Oreochromis niloticus: one gene and its partner. The protein of the gene in region 1 interacts with the protein of each later gene in a pairwise test. Links are inferred from orthologs where the notes say so. Each region holds a gene or a part of one and is shown in the gene's direction. Other genes may lie near its edges. The genes, in order: tp53rk and tprkb.

Region 1 (16,083 bases):
CCCCCCCCCGGATGCTAAAACCATGTCCTGGAATGCCGCAGCTACATCTATGTCTCTGCAGCTTGGACACAAGCATTTCACTACATGTTGTACTCTGTATGAATGTGTATGTGACAAATAAAGGTTGTTTGTTTGTTCTAAAGGAAGAGCTGGAAAGATAGTTGACCTGTTAAGTTCCCTTAACAAAGAAATCCAATAAGCCCACAATGGTAAAAAAAAAAAAACTCATGTCACCCAGTTAAATTCAAAAGACATGTTACAAAGTCCTATATCATTCATGTTCAACCCTCATGAACTTAGGCACACGCTAACTATCGACTTTTATTTTGACTAAAGATTTCAGGTCAGCTGTTTGAGGTGATGTCTTCCTAAACAGTTCATTATCTTTTTGGTTCAGTCCGATGTGCAAACCTGATAGTGCACTCTCTGGTATCGCGGGGAGGTATTTCTGCTGCTGATGAAGCCACAGCACTCCCGATGGTGGTAAAACCTGTAAAACAACAGTGGAGGCCTCACATTGCATCACTCGGGACTCTCTCTATTTGATCAAATGAATAGACTGCAGATCACACCTGTTCAAACGCAACTCCTTGTCTATTTCCTCCAGAGTCTTCCCTTTTGTCTCTGGTAGCATGAAGTAGAAGAACACTGCAGCTGCCACAGCAGTTAGCCCATACACAAGAAACATCCCTGACAGTCCAATCATATCTGCAGAATTAAAACACACATTTCTTTTTGCTAATATGTTCAAAAAAATATTTACACTTGTGGGTCTTGATATGTTTTTGAAGATCCCCTCTCATACTAAAGCAATTATTTAAAAAGAACATTAATCTTTTATTTTAAAAATCCTAAATGTTCAATAACTAGTTTTACATACACAGGCTGCCATTTGTGTGTTGGGTTCTAGGTCAATGACATACAACTAGGGCCATAAGTTTTTGAATAATGAAAATAAATAAAGAAAAAGAAATTTGCTCCTGTAAATCACAACAGTGGATTTTAAATCAAACAAGTAATGTTAATGGTTAAACTTTGAGCTTTCAAAAAAAATTCTGCATTTATAGATTTTATATTTTGCATTTTCTGAGTTTATTTATTATTAAAAAATATTAAACTATTTTGTGCAACACATTTAACTTCAAACTGGAGATCTTTTATCTTGGTATACTATTAACTTCATGCAAATTATCCTTCTGCACAGGAGACCCAGCTCATCACATTTCACGCTGAACTTTTAGGGTCAAGGTTGGGTTCATTTAAAAGTCAACATTATAGCTATCTTAGTTTAAAAAAAGGAAAAAAATAAAGTATAATTCTCCATATTTCACACTTTCAGAGTTGTCTCCAGTTATAAACAAGTCACTCCGAATTTTCACATAATTGACAGTTAACAAGCTTTCAAGCAGCTTTCAACTTTTATATGCTAGCATGACACCAATCACGAATTCCCATCTCAAGAAGCACAAATAATTGTAGTATTTGAGTATTATCCACAGCCAGAAGCAAATCTGATAAAAACTGGAGGTGGGAATGAGAGAGTAACTCGCTTTTTACAATACTAAAGCGAAGCGTTCCACATTTTTGTGGGTGGCTGTAGCGCAGGAGGTAGAGCCGATAATCTACTGATCGGAAGGCTGGTGGTTTAATCCCCGGCTCCCCCTACTCTGCAAATATCCTTGTGCAAGATACTAACCCCAAGTTGCTCTCCGATGCATCAATTGGAGTATTAATGTGTGTGACTGGCAGTTAGAAAGCACTTCAAAGCATAGAGACAGTGCTTGTGTGAATGGGATAATGTGGCATGTTGTATAGAGGGCTTTGACTGATATAAGAATCAGTCCATTTATCATGTATCATGAAATCAATAGATGTAATGAACATTTGTTTTGGAAGCATGTTATTATTATAATTATTATGATTTTTTCATTCATTTATTTTTTGTGGTAAACTAAAGGTAAACATCTAGCTACTTTAAAACCTATAGTGCTATTGAAACTCCAAAACTCACCAATAACATTCAAGAAGGTGAAGGTGACCAGCAGATTTGCAGCCCAGTTGAAGCAGTTGGTGAATGCGAATGCTCTTCCTTTAACAGCAGCTGGAAATATTTCACTCAGGAGGAGCCATGTCACTGATCCAAAAAAAGAAAAAGTTATGATAACCCACAGGTAAAAATTGTATTGGAGGTAAAGCTATGCTTGACAAATACACAGAAATTATTTCAAGCTTTAAATCTATAAAGTAAATAATATTGAGTGAATTTACACACTTGGTCCAAATCCAACAGAGTATGCACTGACAATACCCATCATACACAGGAGGATGATCCAGTTGAATACTTTGCCGTGGACTTTAGGAAAAGTTTCTGGAGTGGGTTCCAAAGAAATGTGGCCGATTTTATTGAACACTACATCTTTATCTTGTGTGGTGTTTTTAAAAAGAGAGTGGCTTCCAGCCAGAGACATATCAAAAACAGAGTCATTGCCAACAGGTGAGTGATATGCATGTGTTTCGTTATCGTCAATGTTTTGAGAATTACAAGGTCTCATAGCGGTCACCTGCGAATGTCCACTGAGGAGTCCGATGGTTATTAGGCACAGAGCCATGACAGAGCAGCCTCCGATGAGCAGAGGCCTTCTGCCCACTCTGTCTGAAAACGCCATGGATATCAGAGTAGCAATCACTTTGACCAATCCCAACCCAACTGATGCCAACACTGCTGAGGAGTCACTCTGAAATCCCACTGTGTGGAAGATGGTGGAGGCATAAAAGAGTACGTTTGGCTGGCCTGTGAACTGCTGAAAGAGTACTAATCCCAGCCCGATGACAGTCCGAGTCCTCATATTGTCCTGGCGCTTGAACAGGTAGAAAGTGCTGTGTTGAACCTTCTTATTTCTCTTGCTAGACTGCACTTCTGAGTCATCTGCTTCTTGGGCTTCAGTCCTGTCATTTTGAAAGCACTGACTCTGGTTGAAAGAATCCTTACTACTGGAAGGGAGTAAGCAGATGGACATGAGCTGTACCAGTGTTGGTACCACAGCTAGACCAAACATCCACTTCCACCCTCTTTTAGAGCCAGACAGGATATAGTTAATGGCATAAGCTGACAGGATGCCCACAGTAATCCCAGCCTCATACAGTGTTACCAGGAAACCTCTGCGGTCTGGACTTACTACCTCAGACACAAAGAGGCAGCAGGACATGGAGGATACAGACATGGCAAAGCCTATTGTGATCCTTCCTATAACCAGTGCTAAGAATGAGTTGATGAGCAGAACCAGGCTGGCTGTCAGGATCATGACATTGCTGATGAGGATGGAGTTCCTGGAGCCATGACGGTCAATTAGGCAGCCGCCAATGATCGAGGCCAGCAAGGCTCCTATCAGCAAGGAGCTGACCAGCGCCTCCTGCTGAATGCACGACAGCCTGAAATCAGCCTTGAGCTGCAGTAAAGCACCCGATATGATGCCCAGCTCATAACCAAAGACAAGTCCGCCCAGAGTAGACACCACACTGGCCAGTGGGGTGATAGGACGACCTGTGAGGAAAGAAAAATTAAGATGGTTAATTTTCAAAGTATAAAAGAAAATGTATTGCCTCCCAAATAATCTCAGTTGTTAGGAATTACACAGAAGAAAACTACTGAAAGGTTATAAGATTTGCCTCCATTCATTTTATGTTATTCGTGGTAAACTGAATTGGAAACATTCTTTTTCTTTGTGTTTGTTGGGTTAGCGTCTAGAAATAAAGAGAGAACTTGAAACAGCTTGGTTTGGTGCATACTTGGATGATGTTATTTGGACAAAATCTTAAATCCTTCAGATGTCAGGAGTTAGTTTACAGTTTACTAAACTCCTGACATCATCAGCAAGTGGTATTACAACTTCATCTTGCTGATGACGTTAGATCAACAGGTGCATTTTAGCATTAGAAAGTACCCTAATAAATGAGCCACATTGGTCACTGTGATCAACCTGTGGTTCTCTGATGTTCAGAATCTATTGAGTGAAATGCAAATGAGGCAGAAAAAGATGAAGATGTAACCTGCTGGAGTTCAGTCTTCCCTTCATATGTGTGTATGTAGTGATTTAATTTTCACCTTTGCACCTTTGAGTAATTAAAGATGTTGTGCTGTTCAATAATCAAGTTCTGAATGTAGATTCAGGGCTTCAGTGTGAAATGTGAGCTATCAGCAGCTAGAACAATCAAGCATGCATTTGCACTGGCAGATCACATTAGTCAACGCTAATGCATTTTACACAATATTTACACCAATTGACTTTATGTCACAGTAGAGATCTGCATTTTATTGTGGTAAACTAATTTACATAAAATTACCTACTCATTGCTTCTGTCTTGTTATGTGCACATTTAAGCCAGACCATGCAGCTCTAAATCCATCTTTCAGAAGACATTCACTGTAGAGTATATGGGAAATAATAAAAAGATGATCTGCATTTCGTGTGCTGTCCTCCTGCTCTGGCGCCCACAGGAAGCCCTGCTGACAGAAAATCAAAGGAAGCCCATCAGAGCCTGTTGCAGCACCGCTGCCATGACAACGCTCTTGTTGATTACAATGATTTCATTAGGGAGTCCATGCAAAGTAGGTATAAAAAGAATGAAATAAAACATGTCTGTGTAGAAAGCAGTTAGCTTGTCAAAGTGTAATTCTGCCAAACATCCTGTCACCTGACAGTGACAGGGCAGTGGAGAATTTGATGTGTCGCTCTGAAATATCAAGAGAGGAACACCATTACTGCAGTTAAAAAGCACTTGTGTCTCTGCTGACTCTGGAAGCCATTAATTATCACTGACAAGCTTCAGTATTCAGTAGCTGGAACACTGAACTGTCACTGAAACATCCAAACTTTCCTGACTGGTGGATGAGTCATTCAACAGTTCATTCACTGATCAATAACTTGGACAGTGCTCATAACTAACATACAAAAGACAACGATTCAACTTAACGCTTTAACTGAAACTTTGACATATGTTGGCAGAGTCGTCTGTCTTTTTGTGCTAGCCGCATGTCAGTCCAAGGTGTATAAGAGCCTTCTATGAGAATAACCTAACTAGTTTAACAGAGTAACTTTTCATCACTTTACTTAAAACAATTAATTTTTTTGTTAAACGTTTTTGTGTGAAAGATGGATTCATTCAATCTTTCAATTCATTAAATATTTAAATATTTAAAATCTGCAACTAGAATGATTTCATAAGTTACTCTCATAAGTTACAAAATTTGCTGTGCTTTTTAGATAGTAAGGCAGTAAATACGGTATACAACTATTATATTTGTTTCTGACTATTATTGCAAAAATAATGATAATAATAATAATGATGATAATAATAACAATCCACCTGGAATTAAATACCATGTTTAGAAATCTGTAGCACGGCTGGGTTTCGCACTTAAAACCATGACAGTAAAAAGTAAAATATTTCCTTATAAAACACTTCAATAGCATTTTTACTTTTAGTTACGTAAATGTCACCATATTCTTCTCCCTCTGCGTAAAATTCTAAATTCCGTAAAATTCCTCTTCACAACTCTCTTGCAGCCTATTTTAACGCTCCAGCTTCTTCTGTTGTGGAGAAATGTAGCTCCATTATTCATCTCTCCCACCGTATTTAAGCAGACACAGTGGGCACGCACACACGCACGCACAGGGCAATCCGTTGTGAATTTACATATTTTTGGGTAGGACAGAGAAATGGACTCACCTCTGGCAGCAGAAAACAATACACAAAAATGCTCCTGGAAAACCTCTGGCCCTCCAGGAAGTTGGGGCTACGTGGCAGCAGTGTCGAATTGCAAAGAAGAATTTCTTGGCCAAGTTTTGACGCCAGAGGTCGTCAGCTATGGAAGTTTCCCGGGAAGGTAATCCAGGCAGAGGATCTGCAAGCACCGCCCACAGCCGGCCAGAGCAGAGAGAAGGACCAGTCCGCTCGCTTTGTCACACACACACACACACACACACACACATTAATGACGAAAAAGAAAACCCCACACCCCGTTATGAAATCATTTAACGTGAAAGTGACGTGCTGAGTTGAGTAGCATAAAGATCTGAAGTGTTAAAAACATACTCGTACTGCATTTTGCGCGTATTATTAACTGTGATATAATTACTGGTGATGATAGTGATATGTCAGTGCAGTAAACATAATATAATATCACATAATTTGCAGTGCTGACACTGAAGGTTTCTAGAATAATTAAAGCTGTAGAATATATTCTTACGTTTAAAAAAAGAGATATGTAAGCAATCTATATACTGTATACACTGTAGGCTTGCCTTAATTAATTACACTATATTGTAGCTGAACAGAAATACTGTTTAACAACCTCTGTTTGTGTGTGCCTGCCATTTATTCTGGTTTGGTAAACTGGAAATTCTGCTCTTACTTCATATGATCGATTTAATTTTCAATGAAAATGTTGCGCTGATGGTACCTTAGAAATATGTGCTTAATATGGAATTCACTATCATACCGGAGATAATGTATCTGAAGTTCAAGAGCAGGACCACACCCCACAAATCCCCCTTCCAGTGGTGTGTCTATAAACGTCGACTTCCTGCCACACACAAGTTTATCATTGTTTTCATGCCCCTCTCCTCCTCTCCTCCTATTTGCCATCCCCTTTTAAATTTATCAACATCTGGTAGGCCAGGAAGCTGCCATTTGTCTTCAGTTTGAACCTGCCAATGGATTATTTTTTTTGGACAGAATGTACTATAGAATTATTTTTAAAATGGTTTTGTAGGAGTCTTCCAAAGTATATATAAAGAAGACAATTTGATCTCAAATTTCTAAAAATGAGCTTCACCACCCTCATTCAAGACCATCCATGTTGAAACTACTGTGGGCAGCTATTTTGAAGTTTTGTCTAAACAAATTTTAAAACCTGTAGTCACAGTGATATAAATAACAATGACATAAGTCTGTGAAGGTTCTCAGTCATCCAGGTCATCGTAGTCAAAGGAGTTTGCAAAGAAAAGCGTCTGGACTTCTTTAAGTTGCTTGAAGACGTTTCACCCAAAAAAAAAAAAAAAAAAAAAAAAAAAAAAAAAAAAGAAGCTTCTCGGATGAGAGGTGAAACGTCTTCAAGCAACTTAAAGAAGTCCAGACGCTTTTCTTTGCAAACTCCTTTGACAACAATGACATAAAACTACCAGAAGTTTTGGATATAAAGAAAGTTTTCTTTTTCCTTTGAAAATTCCACCAGTGTCTTTTCTTTTTCATAATCCTCTCAGAAATGTAGATTCAGGGATCTTTGAGTTATTAAAGAAAAAAAAGAAAAGAAAAGTGATATAACAAAGCCACAGGATTTACAAATTCTACTTTATCCTTAATTTGCTGAACAGTTTTTCATCCTGACCCCATCTTGTATTTTGTCAGTAATGGCAAATAACTCGGAGTGGTTATCAGGTGCCAGGAGTAAAGCTGTTAAATAAAATCATCCTCACCAAGCAGAGGTGAGGATGATTGCGACAAAGCAATAAAAACAAAAACTGGGATTGAAGGGTTTAGGTAAGCAGCAGAATGGCCAACGGCTGTCTTCAATTTGACAATGGCTGATATGGATGTAACAGGTTGTATCAATGGAAACTAAACTTAAAATGTTAATACTATTATTACTGCAGGGTCTTTACATTATAAATAAAGTGCCTTTAGGCGACTGTTGTTGTGATTTGACACTATATAAATGAATCGAATTGAATGAATACACTAACTGGCCAGTTTATTAGGTACACCACTTGGTGCTACTGTGTTGTACCGCCTTTTGGCCCCATAACTGCCTTAGTTTTCAAAAGCATTGTTTTTGCAAGGTGACGAAAACATTCTTCAGAGATTTTGGTCCATGCTGATATGCTGCCATCACACAGCTGCTGCAGATTTGTCATTTCCATGATTTGAATCACCGCTCCACTACATTCAAAAGGTGGTCTATTGCATTAATACTAACAATGAAGGCCTCTTTATGTACAGTGAACCCAGTGTCATGTTCAAGAAGCCGGTTTTAGATGGCGTGAACTTTGTGAGTCATAGGTTATCTGTGTATATATTCTGTATTATTTGTGTATATGTGTTCTACATCGAAAACTTTTCTCTGTATTTATGTGTAGGTATTTTTGTGGTCGCTAGGTGGCAGACGTAAAAAAGAGCAAGGAGGAAAACGGAGGGACCGCACAGCGTGGAGGAGGAAGTAAACATGGCGCGGGAGAACAACATGGCGGTCCCTGAGTTCCTCAGGGAAGCAGAGTTGTTGAAGCAAGGGGCAGAAGCCCGGGTATACCGGGCCGAGTTTCTGGGAAGGCCAACCATAGTGAAGGAAAGGTTCCCTAAACGCTACAGACACCCAGCCTTAGACGAAAAGCTGACACACCGCAGGACCGTGCAGGAGGTCCGCGCCATATTACGGTGTCGGAGAGCAGGCAAGTCCTCCGCTTGTGGAAGTGATCAAATTAGCACCACCCGAAGGCGGTTTAAGAATATTTGTAGCCAACTAACCGACTGGATTGACTGTTGGCTTTGCTGGTCGTTAGTTTCTGAGTCAATGATTAAGCCAGACTTTTCAGCTAAATTGCTTTTATTATCTGAACACCAGACGATATTTAATCTGCAGAGACGGAAGCTTCAGGTCTGTCAATATTTAGTTTTCTGGTTTGTGACTAAATGATTAAGCAGCCATTAGTAGATTAACAACAAAGTGAACTGTGTTTATTACTTTGCTTGTTTCATTCAAATACAAGAAAGTGATCCCTACATAACTCATAGTGGGTATATGATGTCTACAAACCCCTTCTCCACAAGGGGGCACAATAGATGAGCAAATGCTTCCACAGATGTTTAGTCACAGCTTCTGCATAAAGTCAACTTCATAAAAAATTACAAATTCAACCCTTCTCACATTTTATCTCTTATGTTTTGTTGTGCATTCTCAACTTCTGTGTTATCTGTGCCCCTTATTCAGCATGGATTTGAACATTTTCTCTAAACTCTGCTCCACCCACACTGAAACATCTTTTAGCCACACACAAACCTTAATCGATGATTGATTGGTATTGTAGTCACACAAAGTTTGTAAAATCAGACTTTTTCTTCTTCACAGGAATATCTGCCCCTGTAGTCTACTTTGTGGACTATACCTGCCACTGTATCTTCCTGGAGGAGATTGTGGGTTCCTCAACTGTGCGTGACTATATTGCATCTGCTCAACAGTCTGACTCTTGCAAGGAGCTGAAGTTGCAGAGGCTGGCTGAGCGCGTGGGGCAGGTCCTGGCTAAAATGCATGATGAAGATGTCATCCATGGAGACCTGACCACCTCCAACATGCTGCTGAGACCCAGCCCAGAGGGAGGAGAATCCGACCTGGTCCTCATAGATTTTGGTCTGAGTTACATCTCTGCTCTGCCTGAAGATAAGGGTGTGGACTTGTATGTGCTGGAGAAAGCCTTCCTCAGTACCCACCCCAACACAGAGGAACTATTTGAGAAGCTGCTGAAAAGCTACAAGGCGTCATCCAAGAAGTCATCAGCTGTCATTAAAAAGCTTGACGAGGTTCGGTTGAGGGGAAGGAAGAGGTCAATGGTGGGGTGAAGATACTCCCCATGTGTGTACAGGGGCAAACTTGTGGAATTTCATAATACTGAAATTAAGACACTGTTGTGCACAGTCTGTAAATTAACATACATAAATTGTAATTGAATATTAAACTATTTTCTAATAAATGATGCCTCAGATCTTGCTGTTTATGTGGTGATTTATATAAAAATGTTACATATAAAGCTAAACTATTATTTTCACTTTGTTCCAAAAGTCTGAGTGACTGCGTAAGCAAAAAAGTTTCACAGTTGCTCTCTCTCTCTTTATATATGTATATATATGTGTGTATATATGTGTGTGTATGTGTATGTATATATATATATATATCACGAACTTGCAATCCTATATACATGGTATATACCACATACATACATGAATGGATGAATGTATTTCAACAAAGCCATGCTATGCATCCAATCAAATAAATCTGCCAGAAAGGAACAACGGTGTGGTCTTTCTACATGGGATGATGGTTGTCTGTCTGCCTAGTTAAGTGTGAGGGCAGAATAATATGTATATATATATATATATGTGTGTATACGTATGTGTATATATGTAAAAATAAATGTATGTATGTATACATACATATATATATATACATCTGTATATATATATGTATGTATACATATATACATATATATATATACAGATGTATACATCTGTATATATATACATTTTAGTATGTATATATATAGTAGTTTGTGTTCCATGAAAAATGGAACCGGTAAACTGAATTTATGAAAACACACACAATAAGTGGATCAATTTATATTAAGAACTTTATAACACTACTGCATTCATTTTGAAATGAGCACTGATACCTGAAGCAGTGATGCAGGATTTTAAAGACAGCAGTAATGAGTGTTTCCTAAATCACGGAGAAGGTTACTTGTAGAGAACAGTCAGCTATTCAAGTGACTTTAGGTCCGTTTTAATTATATAGCAGCAAATTCCAATAACAGTTGCCTCAAGGTGCTTTATATTGTAAGGTAAAGACCCTACAGCAGTACAGTGAACATGTTGGATGGAGAACAAACTTTGGAATAGAAATGACCAGAAATTTTCACAAGTACCAACTTTGGTTAGACCAAACCAGAACTTACTGGTGACGACATACATAAAGGGGTTTTGGGTTTGAATTTCATGGTTGGCTGGAGCCTTTGTGGATAGTGTTTGCAGATTCTCCTTGTGCCTCTTTGGTTTTCTTCTGCAGTTAAAATTCTGAGTCTGAATCGCACTAGAAGTCAGGTAGGCAGGTCAAAGTCCAAGAGGAGGTGCACTATGACTGATAAGCAGACACTTAAGGTGAATGTTTAGCCACCACAACCATGCTTAATAACACAGGATTTGTAACGCACCACGTGATCTTTAGTCAACTGTGTTTGAATTGTGCGAACACACCCAAGTAAAAACAAATGTGTCACATGTCACTTTCATTTTTAATTTACAGTGACGGTAACATCTGAGACACCATGGATCAGCAGCGTATTACAAACATGACGATTAAACTCATGGTTCTTGCTTTGTACTGTAAAGGTGAGTGTTTGTTAGTGTTCCAGCTTCTAAATGACAGCTCTGTCCTTTTCATTCTCATAGTCTACATGACTCCTTCCAGGTTCCTTAGCTGAGATCACCAGAGAGCTCAGTGTCTTAGTGGGCAATGAGGTAACGCTCAGCTGCATGTTCGACACACCGCATAAGCTAGTGGAGTGGAGTGCTCTTAGTATTGAGTGGAACATGGTGGACAAACATGCAAAGAAGAGCATGGTGTACACGCTGGAAGATGGAAGAGCTCAAGTGTACAAAGAAGGCTCTGTGGTGAATGAAACGTGCCTGCGGCAGAGTGATGCGTCCCTGCAGCTTCATAATGTCACTGTAGGAGATGAAGGGCTGTACACTTGCAGAGTCATCAACCCTCTGATCTACACAGAGTCCACTGCTCTGAAAGTGCTCGGTACGCCTGGGAGTTATATGGGCCAAGAAAGCCACAGTGTTTATCTAGCTTAATAATACAAAAAAGGAGAAACTTTAAAGTGAAGTTGCAGGTAATTTAAAATGCGACATTTCAGTTGTCAGCAAGCTTCACCAAAGAGACAAGCTGTAGGTTATTTTTTGTTTAAGACATCACGCTGTATGAAATTTATACATGTATGAATTTATTCTCAAAGTTTAAACAAGGTGACCCTCTGGAAGAGGCTGAACTATAAAAAAGTAGTATTCTCATAAAATTTACAGTAATATACATATATATATATATATATATATATTTATACATATATATGTGCACAAACAGTTGCCTGCAAACCTAAATGAACTGTCTCAACGTTGTAAAAATTCCAGGGTGCAGCTTATCAGCAGCACGGTATGGAGATCTGCCAGTTGTGTTTGCTGCTTTCTTTTTAAGACAATTACCCAACTGCTCACTTGATTAATAATAAATGTGTTACTGAGGACTTTATGGTCTTTATAGCTTCAAGACCAAGATGCACAAAACAATTAGTGACATTATATCCATTTTTGTGCAAATTGTCGAATTCAAGCACAATCATTTTAAATAATTTTAATGATAACAATGTAATATCTGTTTCTGAACCGTACACCTTCAGCTCAGCCTTCAGTGTTGCTCCCAGAAAAGGCAACAGTGAGAGAAGGACAGGAGAAAACCATACAGTGTGATGTAACAGGTTTCTACCCAGAGAAAGTGGCTGTGACGTGGCTGATCCAAAATGGCACCCAGACCATCCATGCAGGGTTGGGCCAACTGTCCCGTGTCTGCAATGAGCTGGCTGTACACAACCCAGATGGCACCTACAGCATTCGTAGTGGCATCACGCTGCACTCCTCAGTACTAAGGGGTGGAGAGATACATGTCATCTGCCAAGTTGAGCACCAGACCTACAATGGTCTCTACAACCGATCTGTAACACTGGCTGTTCAAGGTGGGATTTTATTTATTTATTCTTTGGAGCTCTTGATTTCATAGATATATAGTGGTATACTGTAGCACAGGTAATCAGAAGATTGATAGTTTGATCCCTGGCTGCTCCAGTCTGCATGGCAAAGTATCCTTGGGCAAGAACTAAAAGTTGCTTTCTGATGTGTCCATCGGCGTATGAGTGTGTGTGAGTGTTAGACAGAAAGCGCTTAAGCAAAAAAGCAAAGTACAAAGCAAAAGTGCCTGTAGTTCACTTGAGTTTTCCTGTAGAGAAGAAAAGCACTATAAGAACCATTTAATATTTACTATGTTACTTTCATGTGCTTTTCCTTCAGCTCCACCAGAGCTGCTTCACAGTACAGCCACTGTGATAGCTGTTACAAGTGTAATAACTTTGCTACTGGTCACCTGTGTTACTGGAGGATCTTTATATCTCTACAGATATTTTTACAAAGGTATGTATCAACAAAAACACATTTTTTTTGTTAAATTTTGATAATTTTCTTTGCTTGGTCATATTTGAATGCGAGAATGTCAGATGTTCACATTAAAGATGTCTACAGATTTAACGAATTTGGCAACTATGTGTAAATTAACGGAAAAACTACAGCTTAAGACTACTCTGAATAGACCAAATTGGAGTTGACCTCATGGTTACTGTCGTGGGGTCCTCTCCTAAACTTCTCCCGAACAAATGCAGGCGTAGTCAGGAAGCATTCAGTGTGGATAGTTTATTCTGCCGGCCTCCCAGGTGCACAAAAAGATTATTTACAAAGAAAATAGAAAACTAACTTAATTCAACACAAAACAAACATCTATATACAAAACACAAGCGGCTGAGCCAGTCTGCATGTTACCCTCTCTGTCACATCTCACAGAATACCCAGGTAGGCCCTGACAGCCTTCTTTTATACCCCATTGCCCCTCCCACTAGGCATAATAGTCATCTCTTTATTATTTCTTTTCCCAAAACACTCTTTTTCCCCTCAGCTTATTTCCAGCTGTATTCCTACAATACATATATATGTATATACAGACATTTATGGCCAATTCCAGGCAGCCTACAGTGTTTCACAATAACAAAAAAAACCCAAACAAAAATAATGCAGTTCACGTGACTTTTCAAGCGCGCGCGAACCCACTATTTGAACCCCGGAACACCATACCATCGGCTTGCATAACCACTCGTATAATCGGCGATCACAGCGAGTCTACGTGACCGGCTTTATTAAAGGTAAGCGGGAAAAATATGTTGGCCACCTTCTGCGCCGCTCAAAATACCTCTCACCCCTTTTTGTTTATCCGCCCGGTCGACGAAAAGAGGCGCAGCCACGGTAATTGTAGAAACTAATGGTGGTGGTGCGTGTATGCGCCCAGATCAGCTGTCTGCGGCCCGGGACGGTGTAACTCCGTCACAGTTACATTCAGAGTTTTATTTGTGAAAAAAACAGAAACTTTTCTGTTTTTCTTTTCTTCCAAGAAAATGTAACTACCTTGTTAACAAGAATATTTTAACATATTTTTATAAAACAACATATTATCATATGTCATATTTTCCAGTTTCTAAATAAATGATCCAATAAAACCAATTTTTTTTTTTTTTTTTAATGTGTTAGAAATAAATCCCCATTTTAGTTAGTGCTGTTTGGCCAATATTGCTCTTCATCCATTGATGACCGGACAAAGACATGCTGTGGATAAGCCTAGATCTTTCTTTTTTTTAAATTTAATTTAATTTAATTTTATTTTATTTTCACTTGCTACACACGGGACAGACATGAGTGGGGGAAAGACTCCTCCCATTTTACCTTTAAATACTTTAGGAACCACAAGTAAGCCCGCTGTCTGAAAGTGAATTACTTTATTGGGGTGATACAATACTATGAACGCTTTAAGATAAAACAGAGCCTGATTAGTCAAGACCTTGTATGTGATGAGAAGGATTTTAAATTCAATTCTGTATTTAGGGAGCCTTTTTTATCCCTTTATTACCATCCCTCTAAAGTGTTACCTAGATAACATAAAATTTGTTTGATTTCAAAAAAGTTTGATTTTGTTAAAATGAAAAGAAAATGCTGCTATTTCTCTTCACAGTTCCATTTAATGTTTCGGAAATCAGTCAGCCCATCATAATATACGCTCAGGTACCCACAGAACTGATGTGCACCATTCAGGGATCCACAAGGTGGGAGCTCAAAGTGAAATGGTTTAAACTAAGAACCAGTCCAGACTCAGTGATTCAGTCAGAGTCAGGTTCTTCAGATTCCCTGCTGGAGACTGAGGATCTCAGCGAACAGGCTTGTCTGCAGTCAGATGGCAAAAATCACACATCTGTCCTGCCTGTATTTCTGACTGTTACTGACGACCAAACCAAATACCAGTGTGTAGTGTGGTGCAAGGACAGGAGCTTCAGAAGGGAGACCACAGTCAAGGTTAAAGGTGAGTAGTTTTGGCTTTGGGAGCAGATTATCAGACAGGGCACTCTGAGAATTCAGCTCAGTGGGGAAATCCCCAGCCCAGTCTCATAAGAAAACATGTTCATGTGCACACAAACTGTCAAGCTTTTTGTGAGTGTGAGCATGGATTTGTAATTGAAGTTCTTTTAATAGGGAGGATGTTTCATGTCAGAAGCATGATTTTTTTTTTTTTTCCCCAGAGAAACACAGAAAGCATCACACTGAGAAAAGAAAGCTTTAAAAGATGTGGCCACTATTGTTCCCAAACCACAATCTTTTTCTAATTACAAGTTTTTAATCCCTAACCTCAAACAAGCTGTTTGAAAATCTGTGCTGTGTATGACTCGAACTTGTCATACACAGCACGGTGGCAAAAGTTTTTAACTCCACCCCCAATTCCTCTTATAACTAAAATGCAACTTTAAAAGTGGGAAATATGCATTACGTGTAAATGGACATTAACTGGTACAGAAAAAAAACTATAAAATTTGTTTCCAGGAACAAATAACAATAGATTAAATATTACAGCTATTTCAAGAAATGTCATGAGACTGTGTTGGAATCCCATAATGCCATGCATCCTAACTCTAAAAAGTTTAACTGGAGAAACACGTGACCCAATCCACGTGCACCAGTAAGTGCAGTAGGCACATGTAATCCTATTTATAATAAAGAAGTAATGATTGTGTAGAAATTCTATTTATCCATATTCCATGACATAGTTAAGTTCTGTACCATAATTTATATATATGAAGTTATATACCAGACTAGGAGGCACAGTAGCTTGGTTCAAATGCACTGCCTTTGGACCAAACTGTAAATGATTGTCATTAAATAACAATGAAAGTAGTTTTTTCAGAGGCCAGATATATTAGAACACTAACACAAGTTCGTTTTTTTTTTTACCTGTTTACTGTAGTTTGACAATGGACATTGAACGTTATGTGTAGACTCTCAGCTTGAAATGTAATTGGACAGTTTACTCAAAGTGCTATTTCACAGGCAGGTGTGGGCAATGTCATTATCAATTAAGCAGATAAAAGGCCTGGAGCTGATTTAAGGTTTGGTGCTTCCATT
Region 2 (17,260 bases), on another chromosome or scaffold:
GAGCAGCACATTTGTCCTCTGGGAGGTGCTTTTTGTTTGTTAGCAGCCTAGCATCGACAGCTGCTCAAGATATCATTTTAAAATGTTGTTTGATGGTAGATACCAAGAACAGCTCGAGCTGATTCAATTTTGCTGACAATCGGGTCGAGGTCAAAGTCAGTCAGTCAGAAAATCAGTAAAAACTTTATATTACCCACAGCTTTTTATGGATCATTGTCAAACTTTGCAGCGATAAATTAGACCTTCAGCCGGCCAAGCATTTGACTTCTAGGTCATAGTCGATGTTAAAAAAAAGAGTGATATATCATATGAAAAGGCATGGGGAGAGCTGTGCAAAACACTTTTTAGATTTTCAATATGACACTCTACAACGTCACAGTGTGCTGTAATAAAAACGCCATAAAACATCAACGTTTGTGAAGTCTTTGCACTTTGAGGGGAGTTGCGCTCGTTCTGTGGTGCAGTGGAGGTTTGGGGGTTCATTACCGATACAAATTTTAAACTCTGTTCTGTGAGAAAATGCATATTTTGAGTGTACAATCCAACAAATTTCTTCTTATAAGTGTAAATGAAAAAAATCCTGTTTTCCAGCCACTGACAGAAAAATAAATATTTACGATACAGATCATGTCCTTAATCAAATAACAGAGATATCGTCCACTTTCCACATTTGGTGCCCACCTTTAAAATTATTACTATTTATAATACAAAATCTTGAGTCATCCCTCGTTTGTATGTAACAAGCTTGAAAGTCAGTATTTCAAGCTTGTGACCACTTTTATTCTTCAAAACAGCCTTTTTTGGGCAGTTTTCTTGTCATTTCTTACGCAGTCTTCAGGAATGTTTCTCCAGGCTTCCCGAAAAGCATTCAAAGCTCTTCTTTGGGTGTTGACTCCCTTTTGTTTTGTTCTCTGTTGAGATGATCCCACTCTGCTTCAGTAATGTTGAGGTCCGGGCTCTGGGGAGGCCGATCCATGACTCATAGTGTTGCGCTGTGTTTGTCTCTTTCCTGGTGTGCTTTTACTGCATTGATTGTTTGCATCATTGTGATGCTGAAAAATGTTTTACAGCTATAGACACTCAGTGCTTTATCTCTATCCTTAAACCAAAAATGGCCAATTTGGATTCATCACTCCATAAAAGCGATTTCCATTCCAGTTCTTGTGTAATTTGTTGTACCTCAAACTTGTTTACCTTCTTTAAAAACTGCTTCTTGAGAGATAATATCAGCACACATGTATCATTGTAACTGATATGTGTGTACAGATGCACACCTATTCTTTGAACCAAGTTGTGCGTTGCTAGGCTGCACTGAGACTGAGCTGAAGCTGTATTTAGTTTGTGCACTGTGTGCTTAGACTGCGTTTCATAGACAATCTGGTAACTTGGGAAACGTTACGTAAAACACAAAACTTACCCAAGTCATATATTCCAGTTACTGAAAGCAAACTTTGAAGGTCACACAAATTCAAGGCCTTTCCTGGGAGAGAGCGTAATAATAGGAGTGTCTGCATGTTTGCCACACACTATCCTCACATGTGCTCTACTGCACATGTGCAGTGTCAAGATTTTACTTAGGAAAAAAGGTACAAGTCAGGTTTACTGAAGTAGAGCTAACTATGACTCTTCCGCACACAAAAGTACAATACTGGCAGGAAAAGGTGAATGGTCACAGTTTGACTTTGATATTTACATTTTGTAGAGTTGAATTTTTTTTCCCAGCTGTGATAGGCTCCAGCGCCCCCCGCGACCCTGAAAAGGATAAGCGGAAGCGAATGGATGGATGGATGGATTTTTTTTCTGTTTGCTGAAATACTTACTCACACTTGGTGTCAATCATTTCCATCCTTTTTCTTATTTTATCAGGTCTTCCTGAAACACAGTCGGTGATGAATAAGATATTCCACATCATCAAGGACAAACTTTGATTGATTGCATCAGGAAATGAATTGAATATATGAATGATCCCTTTGAGACTGTCATTTTCAAAATGCCCAAACGCCCTGGTGATAAAGACTAATCTGTACTTTCATTAATTGGCAGGGTAAAAAAATCAATGTAGTGAAAGGAGGACAAACCTGAAAAAGTGAAAACATTATAAACCATGAAGTGAGCGAGCAGATGCGGTGAACGCTGCTCCGGAGACAACAGTACATACAGTATGTCCTTTCAGCAGGCTCGGAGTGGCTGAGCTGTGCAATCAACATTTGTGTAATCATCCCAGTGTGACTTTTATGAGCTGTGAGCTGGCCCCGTGTTTCTTGCTGTAATTAGAATCCAGTAACGATACAGGTGACATGGAGAGCAATCATTGCCATGCGTTTTTTCTGCTTTCTTACAGTTGAGTCTGCACTTCTAAAATACTGCTCTAAATTAGCATTGACCTTTTCAATAATGTTACCACAGTGTTTCCAAAAAGTCAGGACCCTGTGTGCATAAAACATAAAGATGCAATGCATTAATCGTTTAAAGGCTCTATTTTTATTTACTAGCCCTGGTACTCATTATTAAAGTGTGTAATGTTAGAAAACTGAATGTTGCACAACTGCTGCAGTTAATAACATGACCGTGTGCAAAGGTGTCACCCCAGAAAGTCTCAACAAATTCAACAAATGTATACAAATTAATTGAATTTGTATTGCGTTAAATATACCTCACAGTGGAACATAGGCTGCCATCCACATGGTGCCTGTAACAGTGAAGGCCTTTATTATTTCAGCAAGACAATACCATACCGCACTTATTACAGCAGCATGGCTCTGTAGAAAAGCCCAGACCGGCCACCCACTGGAAATATTACATGCAGGAAACATGAAATGCGACAAAAGCGGCCCTCAAAGTGCTACATTTGCTAAAAGTAGGAATCTTACATCACAGATACTGTTTGAGTAAAACAATAAAAATGCTCACCTGTAAATGTGTTTCTTAGAGTCAGGCCCTTTATATGAATTCACTGATTCAGTTTAAACCTTAAAAATCTCTCCTCAAGGCCAACTTCAAACAAAACATCTAGTGATTAATGTTTGAGTACCTTCCAGTGTTGCTCAGATGCTGAATTCATTTACTTCATGATGAATTGCACTTTCATGTTCATAGGGGTCTCTAGCGCTGCATTATAGCGCCTCCTGGTGGCTGACTCTGGCTAATCCGTTAACTCGGTGAGTCAGACTGAGACAAACTCTGTGTTAGTAGCACTTGATGTCAGTAAGGAGAAATAGTCACAATATTAATTAGATTAATCAGATTAAGTTCTAAAAGACTTGATTTCTGTTCTGTTGTGTTCCTTCAACATAACGAGGTGTTTAATAAAGGTGTTTATTGTTTTCATCATACATTTTTGTTGTCGAAACACAGAGGAAGTAGTGTAGAGGGGGAAAAAAATGGCCAATGAACAACGTTGGTGGCAGCTGGTCTGGATGAAGCTGCTGATTGACTGAGATTTTCCCACACAAACATCTCGAGGGTTTACAGAAACTATCCAGCGAGCAGCAGAGAAGATGTCTTGCAGATTTCAGAGGTCAGAGAATGGCCAGACTGCTTCGAGCTGATAGGAAAGACCACACCGGGTCACACGCCTGTCAGAACACTGGGGAAACGTTGCCTGGTGGCATGAACAACATGACAGCATGGATCCATCCTGGCTTGTAGCAAAAGTTCAGGCTGCTGCTGGTAGTGTAACAAATGTGTGGGATATTTTCTTCGCACGCTTTAGTCCCCTTAGTTTTAACTCCGCCTACCCGAATACTCGTGTCCATCCCTTTATGACCACAGTGTAGTCATCTTCTGACGGCTGCTTCCAACAGGAGAATGCAGCATGTTAAAAAGCTCAGATCATCTTGAGGAGGCAAAAGAAGCTTCAACAAGGAAGTAGCATGGTGTACCTAATAAAGTGACCGTAGAGTGCACATATAATGCTATTGTCCATCTTCACGTGAAACTCAAACGAGTGCTCTACAGACTTGACTTTGAATATTTTATTCCACAGTTGAATGAAGATGGGAGCAGCATACTTACAGCATCAATGCACAACATGTACTCGTGTTCACAGCTACACACAGGTCACACCTTTGATGTGAACAAAGAAAAACTGCATTCAAACTAAACACGACAAATTACACATTCAGATTTGACTGACTTTGATTGCATGAGTCACAAACCAACGTGATCGGATTTTCGTTAGGATGAATTTTATGATTAAAATCTCGTGCATAAAGAAAAACAACAACAAATAAGCAGCGAAATTAACCACATCCACAAATCGAGCACGAGGGCACATACAGAAGAGCAGAAACTAAAACGTCTAAATTAACAATGAACATCTCGACACACATCTTAGTCACCTCCAGTGGACTCGTATGGCTTAATCATAGTGAATATCGAGGTAAAAATGTATGTACATCTTCAAATAGTCCCATTATTATAAAGTTCTGTCAGCGTCCATCACTGGCACAAAATGCTTTAAAAAACCATCCCACATCAAAAGAAATCTCAACTTTACATTAAGATTATATCATTTTTGGTCTCTTTAATTAAACTTGCAAAAGAGTGATTTTGTTGTACTGCATTTTACAAGTGCTGTAGAAAAAACTGCCGTACAAAAACAAGGAAGCCTAACAACTAGACTTGACACAACAAAATAAACATTTTGTTGAATTTACAAATTAAATCCTCTGATTTTCTGAATCAGTTACATTTCTTATGTCAGAATTATGAATCTCAAAAGAAGCTAATTTAGTTGAGAGCCTAATTTTTTTTATTCCAAGGTTGAAATGCTTCAATCAATGCTTTAAGGGGGAAACAAAGCTGTTTGGGGTAAAAACAACATGCGAGTACAGTATATTGAAAATTCTTCATTATGATTTAGATCTGCACCAGCGCTCTTACAATACTGAGATCTCCCACTGTTATTATTACTAACATTTTTTGTTAATATCAATTTCATTCAGTCATGAAATGATTCACAGTTGACTGGCAGGATTTATTTATGAGTGTTTTGAGTGTCATTGAAAAGTACTTTTTTTTTGCCAGTCAAATACAAACTGGAGATACTGATTCTGTCTGTAGGGAGAATAAAACCTTACACCTTTTGAACAAAGCTGTGTGGTTAGAGTGTATAAAAATGATATGACCGTGTCGGTCTGATACTGAGATGTAACAGAGGCTTTGCTTTGATTTTTAAGATGTTCTGGTCCCCTGTAACACAGGAGAAAATCCTGAAATGATCCACTTTAGTCTTTTCCTCACCACATAAACCTCTGCGTTGCTGTGCTGTCTGGCCAGTGGAAGGTCTTGGCGATGAAGATGTAGATGGTGGCAACGTTCACGGCCGTGTACAGGAGGAACTCCCCGATGAGTCTGGGAAGGGAGGGAAGGGGCATGTGCAGGCGATACATCAGGTATGGAACGATGAAGTACCTGAACTCCAGGAGCTTCTGCGGGACTGTGGCAGCCACGAGGCACGCCAGGAAAGCCACACTCCAAAAGAGAGAGCGCGATTTAAAGGAGTCCAGAAAATTCCACCCGGCGAAGATGTATGGAGGGATGAGGAGGAAACGCACCAGTTCGTGCCTCTGGAAAAGTTTCTTCCACACGTAAAAGGGGAAATGGCGGTTATCAGCCAGGAGGTACTTGTGTACAAAGGTGAATTTCCACACCAGGAGGAAAGAGATGCCGGTGACCAGGAGGAAAAACAAAGGCTGCTTTTTGAGAGCCTGCAGGAAGCGGAGGACGCGGTGGTAACACAGCGAGACGGGGAGAGAGAAGAACAGGGAGAAGGAGAAGAAATAGAAGAGCTGGGGGAAGTTGAGGCAGGCCTCGTGGCTCGTCCTGTCGCCAACCACTATCCCATCATTGAGCGCCACAAACACCAGGAAGCCAATGCCGACCAGCGCGTAAGGCCAGGCCACCAACAGCACCGCCTTTATGTGATTGGGTGAGGTGAGGAACTCCAGAGTGAAAAGCAGGATTCTCTTAGCTCCGCTGAATGACAGCGGGATCTGAGACGGTGCAGACTTCTCGTCCCTCTTTTTTGTATGCTCCACCCTCCAGGTGTCATCCATTTTCCCTGCCACCAGAGTGGCTGCACAGAACGCCACCCAGATGATGTTCGTCTGACGGAAGAGCACGGAGCAGACGCCCAGCAGCGCGGAGGCCTTGTGGCAGCCGTACAGGGTCATGAGGTAGGTGAATAGGATGAAGAAAGTAGATCCAGCGTCAGTGTAGTAGAGGAAGTTAAAAAAGTAGAGCACAGGAAAGGTGGACAAAGACAGCGCTGACAGGACTCGGCGTGAGGTTGTCCGCGTCTAGAAGAGAAGTTAATGTGACATCAGAAAAAAAATAAGTCACTTGTGGTCTTGTCTTCGTGTCCTGGACTTACCTTCTCCCTGAGGTGCAGCTTGCAGAGGAGCAGATAGATCAGGTAAAGGTTGCCACAGTTGAAGAGCAGGTTGATGAAGCGCAGCATGGCCGTGGAGCACACCACCTCGCCTGTCAGTTCGGTGAGCCAGACCACAGGCTTGATGACTCCCACTGAGACGAGGTAAAGGCCTGGGAGAGTGGTGATCATCGGGTCCCACTGCATGGATTAAAAACATGTTAACACGGCACAAGGTGTAAAGTTCGCTTATCATGTGGAGTGAGCGGATAATGGCTCTTGAGTAGGGGGGGGGGGCTTCTGCTGTGAAGGGCCACACCAATAAGCTGAGCTTCACGGTGCTCAATATTAATTGTATCCCTTTGTAATCCTATTGTTGTGGCCCTCCACAGGGATATTTCATAGCACTGTCAGAGTTTTCTTGGCTAGTCTGTGATACAAGTATTCAAGAAAAAACCCTGTGTTTGCATCAGCACTCACAGTTCATTATTACCGCCAGGCATCGAACAACCAACTTTTTGATTAATAGACGACCTGCTCTGGCTCCTGAGCCACAAGACAATCCAGCTTTTTTTTTTTTTATGAACTTCACCTATATGCTATCTTAAAATTACAGCCCAAATGATATAGCAGTCTGTTGATACATATGAATATCGTCCAGTGGAGTATGTGACGACACAAATTTACAAATAAAGTAATTTAAATTTCATCCATCCACGGGTCTAATGGTTTCTCCTGGTCCAATGACACCTCAGCCATCATTTAGAAGCCCCAGCAGGGCCTGCATTTCCCGAGGATACTCGGGAAGAATCATCTCAGTTAAATGCTCCTGCTGCTGTGCTTCTACAGACCCACCGCTGAGATCATAGTTCATTACACTGTGGTACATGGGGTTCGTAGCAGCAGATTAAAAAGGCCCTCCAGAGAATCACCAACACTGTTGTTCTCTTCCTCCCCTCACAGACATTGCGAACAGCCCCAAATCATCGTCAAAGACTGCTCTCATCCAAGTCACCATCTGTCTGAACTGCTGACTCCGGGTAGGCGTTACCAATCCGTAAAATCCAAAAAGGCGGTCGTTGACTGGTCTCTTGTCCTACGTGCCTGGAGCCTCGCAGGCCTCTGCTAGGACCCGGGCATCATATTACTCTGCTGCATGTGAACCAGGCAGGGCTGTGATGAATGATAACCACCCCAATCTTTTCTCTGCAAGGCTTTAACACTTTTTAGAAAACTCACTCTCTCTCTCTCATGGATCCCTGACTAAAACACCATCGTTTAGCCAAGTTTCCTCTAATACACACACTGCTTTCACTGTCAGTCTCTGCCATGCATCACGTCACATATGAGGATGAAAAAACTGCAACATGTCTTTACAGATAGCCATTAGTAATGTAAGGTTTACAGAGCTTCATACAGACCTGAGCAGTTAAGCTTCACTTCACCACAAAGTCCCATGCTCTTTTTAAAGCTGGCCCACGTGACATCAACAAATATAACCCATCCAGACAGGCATACCATACTGATGCTGCCCTATATGCCCAGTGTGGAGATTAACCCTAATCGAAAGCCCCGCTGCTCTTAGCTAACCTTAATCCGCCTGATAATGGCGGGCTCACCCTCATCACTCACACTGTACCTCGTTGAATTTTCCCTGGCAGTACTTCTGAGCTTGGGGGACGTGGAAGATCTCGTCCATGTAGGGCTCCCTTTGCTCGCGGGTCACTCTGGAGAACAGCAGGCAGGATATTAAGAAGTTGGTGCTGCACAGAGCAGTGAACATGTAGCCTTCAAATTTCTCCATGTTTGACGACGAAACACGGTGTAAAACTGAGAAAAGTTCAGACCAGAGCTAGCTGTTAGACTTTAGAGTATCTCGCATAACGACTAGACTCGAGAATTTAAACCGCGGGAAAACGTTAATTTAGAGGAAAACTGTCTGAAACATGTCCACCGTTGCTAAACGGAAGAATATTTGTGATTTTTGACAGCTGGCGGTCCGATTCAGAAATAGGCTCGGTACGGAAACTCGTGTATAACCATAGGTTCCGGTACTGTGCTAAATACTTTAGCGTAGGATTATCTGTCGAATAATATCTGCCTTACATATATGTATGATTTATTTTGGATGATTATGTTATTGACTGCCGTTTTACTACCTTGTGACATCCTTTTTTTCCTCCTAGGAGGAGATTTCCTCTGACGCGGTGTCACCGTGTTATGGTTCCCCCCGCTGTGTAGAGACTTCACGTGAAGCACCGTGGTCCGTGTGCCGTTTATAGTATTTTATCGAACCTTTTGTGTGTGTGTGTGTTTTCAGAATGCATCTAATACAAAAGCTGGAGCTTTTCCCCGACCACAGAGTGACCCAGATGCTCTTCAAAGAAGTCAAAAATGCTGCAGAGCTGAAAAAAAGCGCCATGGAAGGGAAAATAAACGGTGCCTTGATCAACCCTACGATGGTGAGCCTTTTCCGTCTGTTTTAGCAGTGCTTTGTTAAAAGTATAAAACACAGGCTAATAAACCCGTTAAGTACTCGCATCTTTCACTGAAATAGGAACATTGAGAATTACCTGGAGTCTTGCTGTTTTCTCACGTTGACCCTGTGCTTCCATTTCCAGCTGGTGGATCCTTTTCAAGTGCTGGTAGCTGCCAATAAAGCCGTTCACTTAGAGAAAGTTGAAAAAATGAAGACAAGAACTCTTTACTCGGAGATCATCTTCAATCTGTCCCCTACTAATAATGTAAGTGAGGAGAAGCAGATATTTCTGTGATGCATGTTCCCATTAAAAAAAAAAAGTTACTCTTAATGTAGTTTTAGATATGTAAGCTATCCATATGCTTCCACTAATATAGATCTCAGACGCCTTTAAAAGATTTGGGATCTCAGATGGCGATGACTCCGTTCTGATCGTCATGGTTGACAGCAAAGATGAGTCCCAGGACGTGTCAGACATTGCAGCCAGGGTGGAGGGCCGGCAGGTTCCAGTGGAAGAGCTTTCCTCACTGTCAGACCATACAAAGATCAAAAAGGTCGCTGCTTCTAATTCATCTGCGTTCCACACTTGTATCTTGTTATGTTATGGGGGTGACAGGCTGCACAGTTGTTTCTCCTAATGTTGCTTTATTCCCAAAACATTCTCAGATGTGGATTATATCCAGTCCCGGACTAAATGAAAAATTCAGGAAAGAGATGACAAAAGAAAAATAACTGGGCCTAAAATCATGTTATAACCCACAGAGTACATAATCAAATGCAGTTTTTTTTACTCCCCCTTTAACACTTTGCTTGATGAATTTAAAGAATATTTTAATTAAGTTTTTTTTCCCTCCATTACAGCTGTACAAAGTCACTCCTCAGGAGGAGAAATGTGGGAGTCTGCTTGATGCGGTCGTATGCAGAATGGCCACCAAGGATGTTATGTAGGTTTGGCGGGATATACTAGGTGCCATTATAAACTTCTGTGACTTTTATTACTTCACCCTTAAAGAAATGAAAGACTACGCTTTGAGCTCCACTTCAACACACTGTCCTTGTGCAGGACTGGACTACTTCCAGCACCGCTGCTATTTTTTGGTCACTCCTTGAACGTCCCATTCTGTCCACTGGAGCAATTCAAATGTTAACTCCTGTATCAGGCTGAAACAGCTTTGACTCGGAGGATCATCAAAGGTTATGAGAGCGGCTTGTCCACCTACAGCCCACCGACCAAACAGCACACAGTCCAAAAGCAACGCATCAGGATCTAGACGATTTTTTCCCATCATTCATGTGTTGTGCACTAAGGTCAGGCTTATTCAAGGATCTAATATCCCAAGGCATTCAAGGGATGGCATTTAGTAGAAATGACGTAAATCTGTACACTGTAAATCGAAAACACCAAAGGCTGGGGGTTTTTTGGTCACACCAACCAAATTGTAGCTCACCACTGGTTACATACAGCCAGATACGACTCTGTTCTCTAAAATGAAGCCAAATTTAATGGATTCATGCAGTGCTGCACGAGAGACCACCTTCGAGGGGGGACTGTTTTTGTTTTTGCAGAGTTGCAGAACTTTATGATCACACCTTGTAAGACCAGGATATGCATAATAATATGTGAGAAAATGTGTTTGTTTTTTCTTTTCACACAGCAGTTTAACAATAGATCTGTTGTCAATAGATCTATGTCTGTTTTTAATACTAGCCCAGTACCTTCTTAAGTTTAAACCAACAGAAATTGTCAGTCTTGATCTCTGTACACTGGGCTCAGTCAAAATAAATCTTATTTTTCTTAAACCTTTGGGTGAACTCATCTTTGTTTATTCTTTTTTAATCTCTTCTTTGCCGCGGCCATGACGTAGGTAGAAATCTTTGTGTTTCTTATTATTTAGCATCATCCTATTTCTTGTTTTATTTGACCTTTTGAACTTTTTTCATTCACTGTGTTTTTTTGGTTCTGTACACTGAAGGTTAGTTTTGTGACTGATGGGGACAGCGATGTAAAGCTGCTCTCTTGCCAGCAGAGCTGAATTATGAATCCAAATTGCTTTGAGCTGGATGTGAGCCAGGCCTCTGAATAATTAAAAAACAAAGAAGCTCAACTGCCCGAAGCACTATCACGAAAACACTTCAGTCGAGCCAAATTTCAGCCAATGGCTGTCAGCCTGGGGAGGCATGAATAATAAATCTGCTGTTTGTTTTAAAAAGTTTGGAGTTAGGTTTGACAAAATTGTACTTTCTACAGTTTTGTTTCATAAAACTGGTAATTATGTTTTTTTTAATATAGCTGATAAGATGCAATAACACATTCTGATGACATTAGAAAATTCTCATAGCACACATTTCAACACTTTTTACTCAGTATAAGGTATTTGATCCTTGTTTGAAAAATGTTACGTCCGTTGATGATAATACTAGAAATATTTAATAAAGAATGTTGAATGTGGAGCTGCAGGACACGAGGAAAAGAGGAAGACCTCAGAGAAGATTCATGGACGTAGTGAAGGAGGACCAGGAACTATCATAACCATTCAGATGCTTATAGATTACAAAGCATTGCATTATAATCACCAATTGGCATTCTACTGCAGCAAATCATGTTAATGTTCATAGTTTACAAAGTAATTACTATTCATTAACAAAGTGTTAATGAGAATCACAGTATTTCAAATGTAACAGTATGTAACACAATAAGCTACACTGCCCATCCAGAAATAGTCACACACTCTGAATAATTTGTTGGACCACCCTTACCTCTGAGTATGGTACACATCCTCCGGGGCAACATTTTGATGAGCTTATGCAGTGTCACAGCATTTATTTCCAGAGCTTCATTCATTTTTTGTCAACTCGATGACAGGACGTGCTATGTAAAGTCTTCTCAAACACATCCCAAATAATCTCAGTGGGGTTAAGATCTGGATGCTGTGGAGGTTGAGCCAAGGTTGAAGATGATGCTCCTGGCATGATTCCTGGAATTGCCATCCTTGAATATGTCCCTGCCATCAGAGAAGCAGTTATGGCTTTGTGCTGAGAAAGAGTTTTTAGAGTGTTGCTGCATAAGTATAGAGAAGGTCAGGAGTTTGGGATCTAGAAAAAAAGCATATGATAGGTTGTCAAAAGAGGAACTGTGGTACTGCATGACGAAGTAAGGAGTGGCAGTGAGCGCGCTGCAGGACATGTGTGAGGTATGCAGTAGGAGTGACAGATAGGTTCAAGGGGGGGGATTACTGAGCCCCTTCTTGTTTGCAGGATTCTCTGTGGACTATGATGTTTGCAGTATGGAGAGGTGGAGGTGCACTATATTGCCAGAAGTATTTGCTCATTTGCTTTCAAACACATGTGAACTTGAGTGGAAGAGAGACTCCAAACCTTGTGGAAAGGTTTAGGAGGGATTTATCGGAATTTTTGACCGTTCTTCCAGAAGCACAGTTGTGAGGTCAGACATTGATGTTGGACGAGAGCGCCTGGCTCTCAGTCTCTGCTCTAATTCGTCCCAAAGGTGTTCTATCAGGTTGAGGTTCTTCCACACCAAACTCACTCATCCATGTGTTTATGGACTTTGCTTTGTGCACTGGTGTGCAGTCCTGGTGGAACAGAAAGGGGGCATCCACAAACTGTTCCCACAATGTTGAGCCACAATCGCCCATGGCTAGGATGCAGCTGCTCAGCCATGGAAACCTATTCCATGAAGTTTGGAGGTCTGCAGCAAGGTGGTGGTCTTTGCACACTATGCACATCACCATATGCTGTCCCCGCTCTGTGGATGTTATGTGGTATACCACTTCATGGCTGAGTTGCTGTCATTCCCAATCAGCAATCAGAGTCAAGCACTTACCTACACATTCTAATCAGCACACTCTCTCACACTGTGCAGACTTTTAAGAATATAAGAAACATACCAGAAAGACGCAGAATTGCGACAGCAGTAAAAACGTGTATTAACAATGTTTATTCTAAATTGTTGTCTGAGAGAATTACTGGCACAGATTTGTAGTTTGTCAGTCCTGAAAGTTCAGAAGCTCGGATTTTCCAATATTCCCTCCGGTGAGGATGCACACAACATCTTTCCCCTCTAGCTCCAGGATCTTGTTGTTAACGATGGCAGCAAAGGCAGCAGAGCCTGATGGCTCCACTACCAGCCCAGATCTGTAAAGCGTGGACACAGCAGCCTTGATCTCCTCATCGCTAACGAGGACGATCCCCTCCACGTAACGTTGGCACAGCTCATAGGGCAGCCTGCCTGGTGATGGAGCAAGAAAACTCTTCTATTTTCTCATGAATCGCAAACAGAAAGTCAAGGAATTTTAAAAGAACTGTTCATATACAAGCAGATATGCTGGAGAGAAATTTAACAAAAACTACCTGCGAAAGGTGGTGCAAGACCTGACGCGATGCTCTTGCTGTCCATTTCTACTGGCTTCTTCTCAATGAAGCTTTTGTACATTGTGCAAGCTGTGTTAAGCAGAAACACACTTAAAGTTTCTGCACACAAAAACAAGCTAAACATCAGTTTGTTGGTGACTTTTTACCTCCTTCTGGCTCCACGCCGTAGATCTTGGTTTTACTGCAACCTGACAGTTTGATGGCAGCAGCTACTCCGGCCAGGAGCCCACCTCCACCGCAGCACACCACCACCACATCAGGCTCCGGCATCACTTCCAGCACCTCCATACCTAGACTAAATGCATGTGCACACACAATTAATGTAAGACAGCGATATTAAAAATCGAATTTTTACCTATAAAAGACGAAGATAAAACACTCTTATGCACTAGCATCCAGCCCTGATTGTACCTGGCATGCCCTGCAATTAGATCCAGGTCATCGAAGGAGTGCAGGAAGGTCATGTTGTCCTCCTGAACACAACGGTTCACCACGTTTATCAGACAGGATGTAGGAGCTCGCTCCACCTCCACCCCTAAACTCTGAGGACAAGAATAACCACTCCATGAAAATAACAAAGCAATAAATTCACACCTATTAGGGAGTAATTTATTTGTCTGTATTTAACTTTTAAGGCTTTTGCCTTTTGCTTAACTGTGCCACAAACGACCTCTGACCTGTATAAAGATGGACTTGTTCTCTGGGGCAGTTTCGGGCATCACCACTTTGCCCTTTGACCCAAAGTGTTTTGAGGCATATGCAAATGACTTGCCGTAGTTTCCAGCAGAAATGGTGACAAAACAGCCACCCGTCGGTCTCCTGGCAAACTGATTGGCTACTCCTCTGATCTTAAAAGACCCTGTCATTCAAAAACAGGAGATCAATAAATCTGCAGCAAAGTGTCAGGGAAGCCAAACAAAGTGGGTTTCACCAACCAGTTCTCTGCATGTTTTCCAGTTTGATGTGGATGTTGCAGCTGATGCTGAGAGGCAGGGTGGTCTGGCTCCAGGCGATCATGGGGGTGTTGATGACACCCAGAGGGCTGCTCCTCACCGTCTCTCTCGCTTCTCTTAGCATGTCCAGAGTGACAGCGTCTGCAGACACCTCACCCATCTGGGTGGGTCAGAAACAGAGAAACATCATCACACCCAGTAGTTTAGTTTTACATAAATGTATAAAAGACACTTATTAATTGATATATTTTTGCAGTTACTGTAGGATTAATTCAAAATATGTAACCACTGCAGCTCTCAACCATGAGTTCACAGTTTTAATCAACGGAAAATGTAAAGAATTGAGTTGATTTAATTGGTAAGCAGTTCGCGAGCCTGTGATTTATTAGGAAAAAACGTGAAAGTTAAATTATATATAAAACAACTTGTTTCGTCCTTAAACGAAACCAAAAATGTATATTTATTCTGTTCGGTATGTTTTACACAGACCTTATTATTTGTTTTCACTCAGCTGCTTGAAGTTTAGTGTTACAACTTTTTCGGCTCCCTCCTCAGCAGCTTGATGGTTCCGGCATAAAATGCGTTTCAAGTCGGACGCTATTGCTGTGCGGACGGCAAACATGGCGGCTTCTGTAGAGCAGCTGGGTGAAATGTCCTAGTTTCGTGAGCGAGAAAGTGTTCAGAGCCAGACTGCAGTAATATGAAAACATGGCCTTGATAAAGCACGTGGTGTGCGCCATGTCCGGCGGCGTTGATAGCTCCGTCGCAGCGTTACTGCTGAAGAGACGAGGTGAGAAAAGCTGGCAGTGGAAACACTGAAGCACACCTGCACTGGCTTTGTGATGGGAAAAGGTTAGCCAGGCAGGGGAAGCTGCTGTATACGAATGAAAGAAATAAACCAAATAAAGTCAGAAAAACCAAAGTAAAGCTGTAAGTGAGTCTCATTGTGATTGTGTGTTGTTTGAAGGCTACAACGTGACTGGAGTTTTTATGAGGAACTGGGACTCTCTGGATGAGAAGGGGGTCTGCAGCACAGAGAAGGACTGTGAGGACGCATACAGAGTGTGCCAGAGCCTGGATGTCCCCTTTCATCAAATGTCCTATGTCAAAGAGTACTGGCATGAAGTTTTCAGGTATTTCTGTCTTCTTCTGTCAGCTGCCTTTAGGGCTCACAGCAGCTTATCATCTGCCTCCATCCCCTTTCCACCTCCTCTGTATATCGTCCTGTCGGCGCTGTGTTCAACATACTTTGTCCGGTACAGATGCCGCCATCTCCAATGAAATTTGAGAAATGCCGTTTTTGTGAAAATGCTCCAAAGTGATTTTCAGCATATCATTTCTAAACATACTAGTTTAAAGAGCTGCTAAAAAGACAGTTGCAGGTCATTTGGACCACGATACCCAAAGATATTTCTGTGTGCAGTAAGTTATATTTGGATGCTTCTGTTGTGTGGGCTCCCTGCCCTTCTGTGCACATACATGGAAAGCTGTAGGTGGCAGTCAGCACAGAAGAGAGGGCTACATCTATTCCCTGTTTTGTTCCACCTGTCCCAATTGTCATAAGGCAAGAGGAAGGTTACACCCTGGGCAGGTCATCCAGGCAGACAGACAACCATTCACACCTACGACCAATTAAGAATCACCAGTTAACCTAAAGTGTGCCTGTGAAATGTGGGAGGAAGTCGGAGTACCCAAAGAGAACCCATGCAGGCACAAGGAGAACATGCAGACGCCACATAAATCCTATGTGGGTTCTCTCCAGATTCCCTGGCTTCCTCCCCAGCTGGTCAGTGGATTTAAACCCATTACCTTCCTGCTGCGAGGCAACAGCACTAACTATCAAACCATCATGCTATCCACAATATTCATATGCAGCATTAAAAAGTAGGAGCTCAGTTGGAGGCTGGTTGCAAAGTGGCTTGCAGATGTGCAACAACTGTGTGCATGCTGGAAGAGCTTAAAGTGCAATATGAGGCGAGCTTCCAGGGTTCCTGATAAGGAAAAATGTTCTGATTTACATTTAAAATTGATATTGACTTCAATGAGATTTAGAACAAAAACTAGGATCAGAATGTGGAATCTCTCAAATTTTGTACTTGTTTTTTTTAAATCCAGTGTTGAGCACTGAATGCAGTTTCTCTCTGTCTGGTTTGCAGTAACCTGTTGAAGGAATATGAAAGGGGAAGAACACCAAACCCAGACATACTATGCAACAAGCACATCAAATTTAACCACTTCCACAAGTACGCCATCGACACCCTGGGTACGCTGTTTTATTTTCATTCTCATGCTTATTGGTTGAAATATAAAATATGATCACTTAAGTCTCAGACACACTCCAAGAGATTTATTGTTTCCTGTAGGTGCTGATGCCATGGCAACAGGCCACTATGCCAGGACATCACAGGAAGATGACGAAGTTTTCGAACAGGCTCACACAGCTCCGCCCACCACGCTGTTCAGAGATCGATTTGAGATCCGAAATCGTAAGTGTGACTTTCACTTTATACCTCTTATGTCTCTGATTTTGACACTAATTTCCACTATTTTTGTTTCTGTGAGTGAACTTTGTCTTTTTTTTTTCCTTGTGTTCCTGTCACCAGCTGTGAAGCTGTACAAAGGGGCCGATCTCCTCAAGGACCAGACCTTCTTTCTCAGTCAGATCCCACAACAAGCCTTACGGCAAACCATGTTCCCGCTCGCTGGACTCACCAAAGAATTTGTGAAAAAGATTGCTGCTGAGGCCGGGTTTCACCACGTGCTGAAGAAGAAAGAGGTGCTCAAATATATTACAGACTTTAATAAGGACAGAGGAACACAGGATTTAAATTGACTTGCATGTCGTTTCAGAGCATGGGTATCTGCTTTATTGGAGAGAGAAACTTTGAAAACTTCATCTTGGAGGTAAGTATTTGTTTCACATGGCAAAAGTATCTCATTTTCATAGGATTTAGGACAAAACCTCCCATCTCTTTTTAAGATGACCTCAGATCATTTTGATCTTCAGCTGCTTTGTTTCTATTTTCAGTATCTGGAACCCAAACCTGGGAACTTTGTCTCCATTGA

The links.
Region 2: the proteins of tp53rk (region 1) and tprkb interact in binary tests that used the Homo sapiens proteins (3 or more experiments, as listed by UniProt). The link is inferred for Oreochromis niloticus from reciprocal best matches to the Homo sapiens genes TP53RK and TPRKB.

Annotation. Positions count from the first base shown.
Region 1 is NC_031970.2:36,230,317-36,246,399, reverse strand, and holds tp53rk (EKC/KEOPS complex subunit TP53RK), read left to right. Parts: upstream 1-8,158; 5' UTR 8,159-8,221; coding exon 8,222-8,444; intron 8,445-9,121; coding exon 9,122-9,609; 3' UTR 9,610-9,756; downstream 9,757-16,083. Other genes in the region: slc2a10 (solute carrier family 2, facilitated glucose transporter member 10), read right to left, coding at 394-490, 573-708, 2,012-2,134, 2,273-3,541, 4,346-4,388.
Region 2 is NC_031981.2:4,864,898-4,882,157, forward strand, and holds tprkb (EKC/KEOPS complex subunit TPRKB), read left to right. Parts: upstream 1-8,569; 5' UTR 8,570-8,694; coding exon 8,695-8,835; intron 8,836-8,994; coding exon 8,995-9,117; intron 9,118-9,229; coding exon 9,230-9,406; intron 9,407-9,713; coding exon 9,714-9,800; 3' UTR 9,801-10,652; downstream 10,653-17,260. Other genes in the region: alg10 (dol-P-Glc:Glc(2)Man(9)GlcNAc(2)-PP-Dol alpha-1,2-glucosyltransferase), read right to left, coding at 5,241-6,302, 6,377-6,574, 8,013-8,177; uncharacterized protein srr, read right to left, coding at 12,857-13,098, 13,221-13,310, 13,388-13,536, 13,653-13,783, 13,919-14,100, 14,177-14,354; trmu (mitochondrial tRNA-specific 2-thiouridylase 1), read left to right, coding at 14,903-14,984, 15,162-15,327, 16,351-16,457, 16,558-16,680, 16,798-16,970, 17,045-17,098, 17,223-17,260. UniProt on the Homo sapiens protein: Component of the EKC/KEOPS complex that is required for the formation of a threonylcarbamoyl group on adenosine at position 37 (t(6)A37) in tRNAs that read codons beginning with adenine.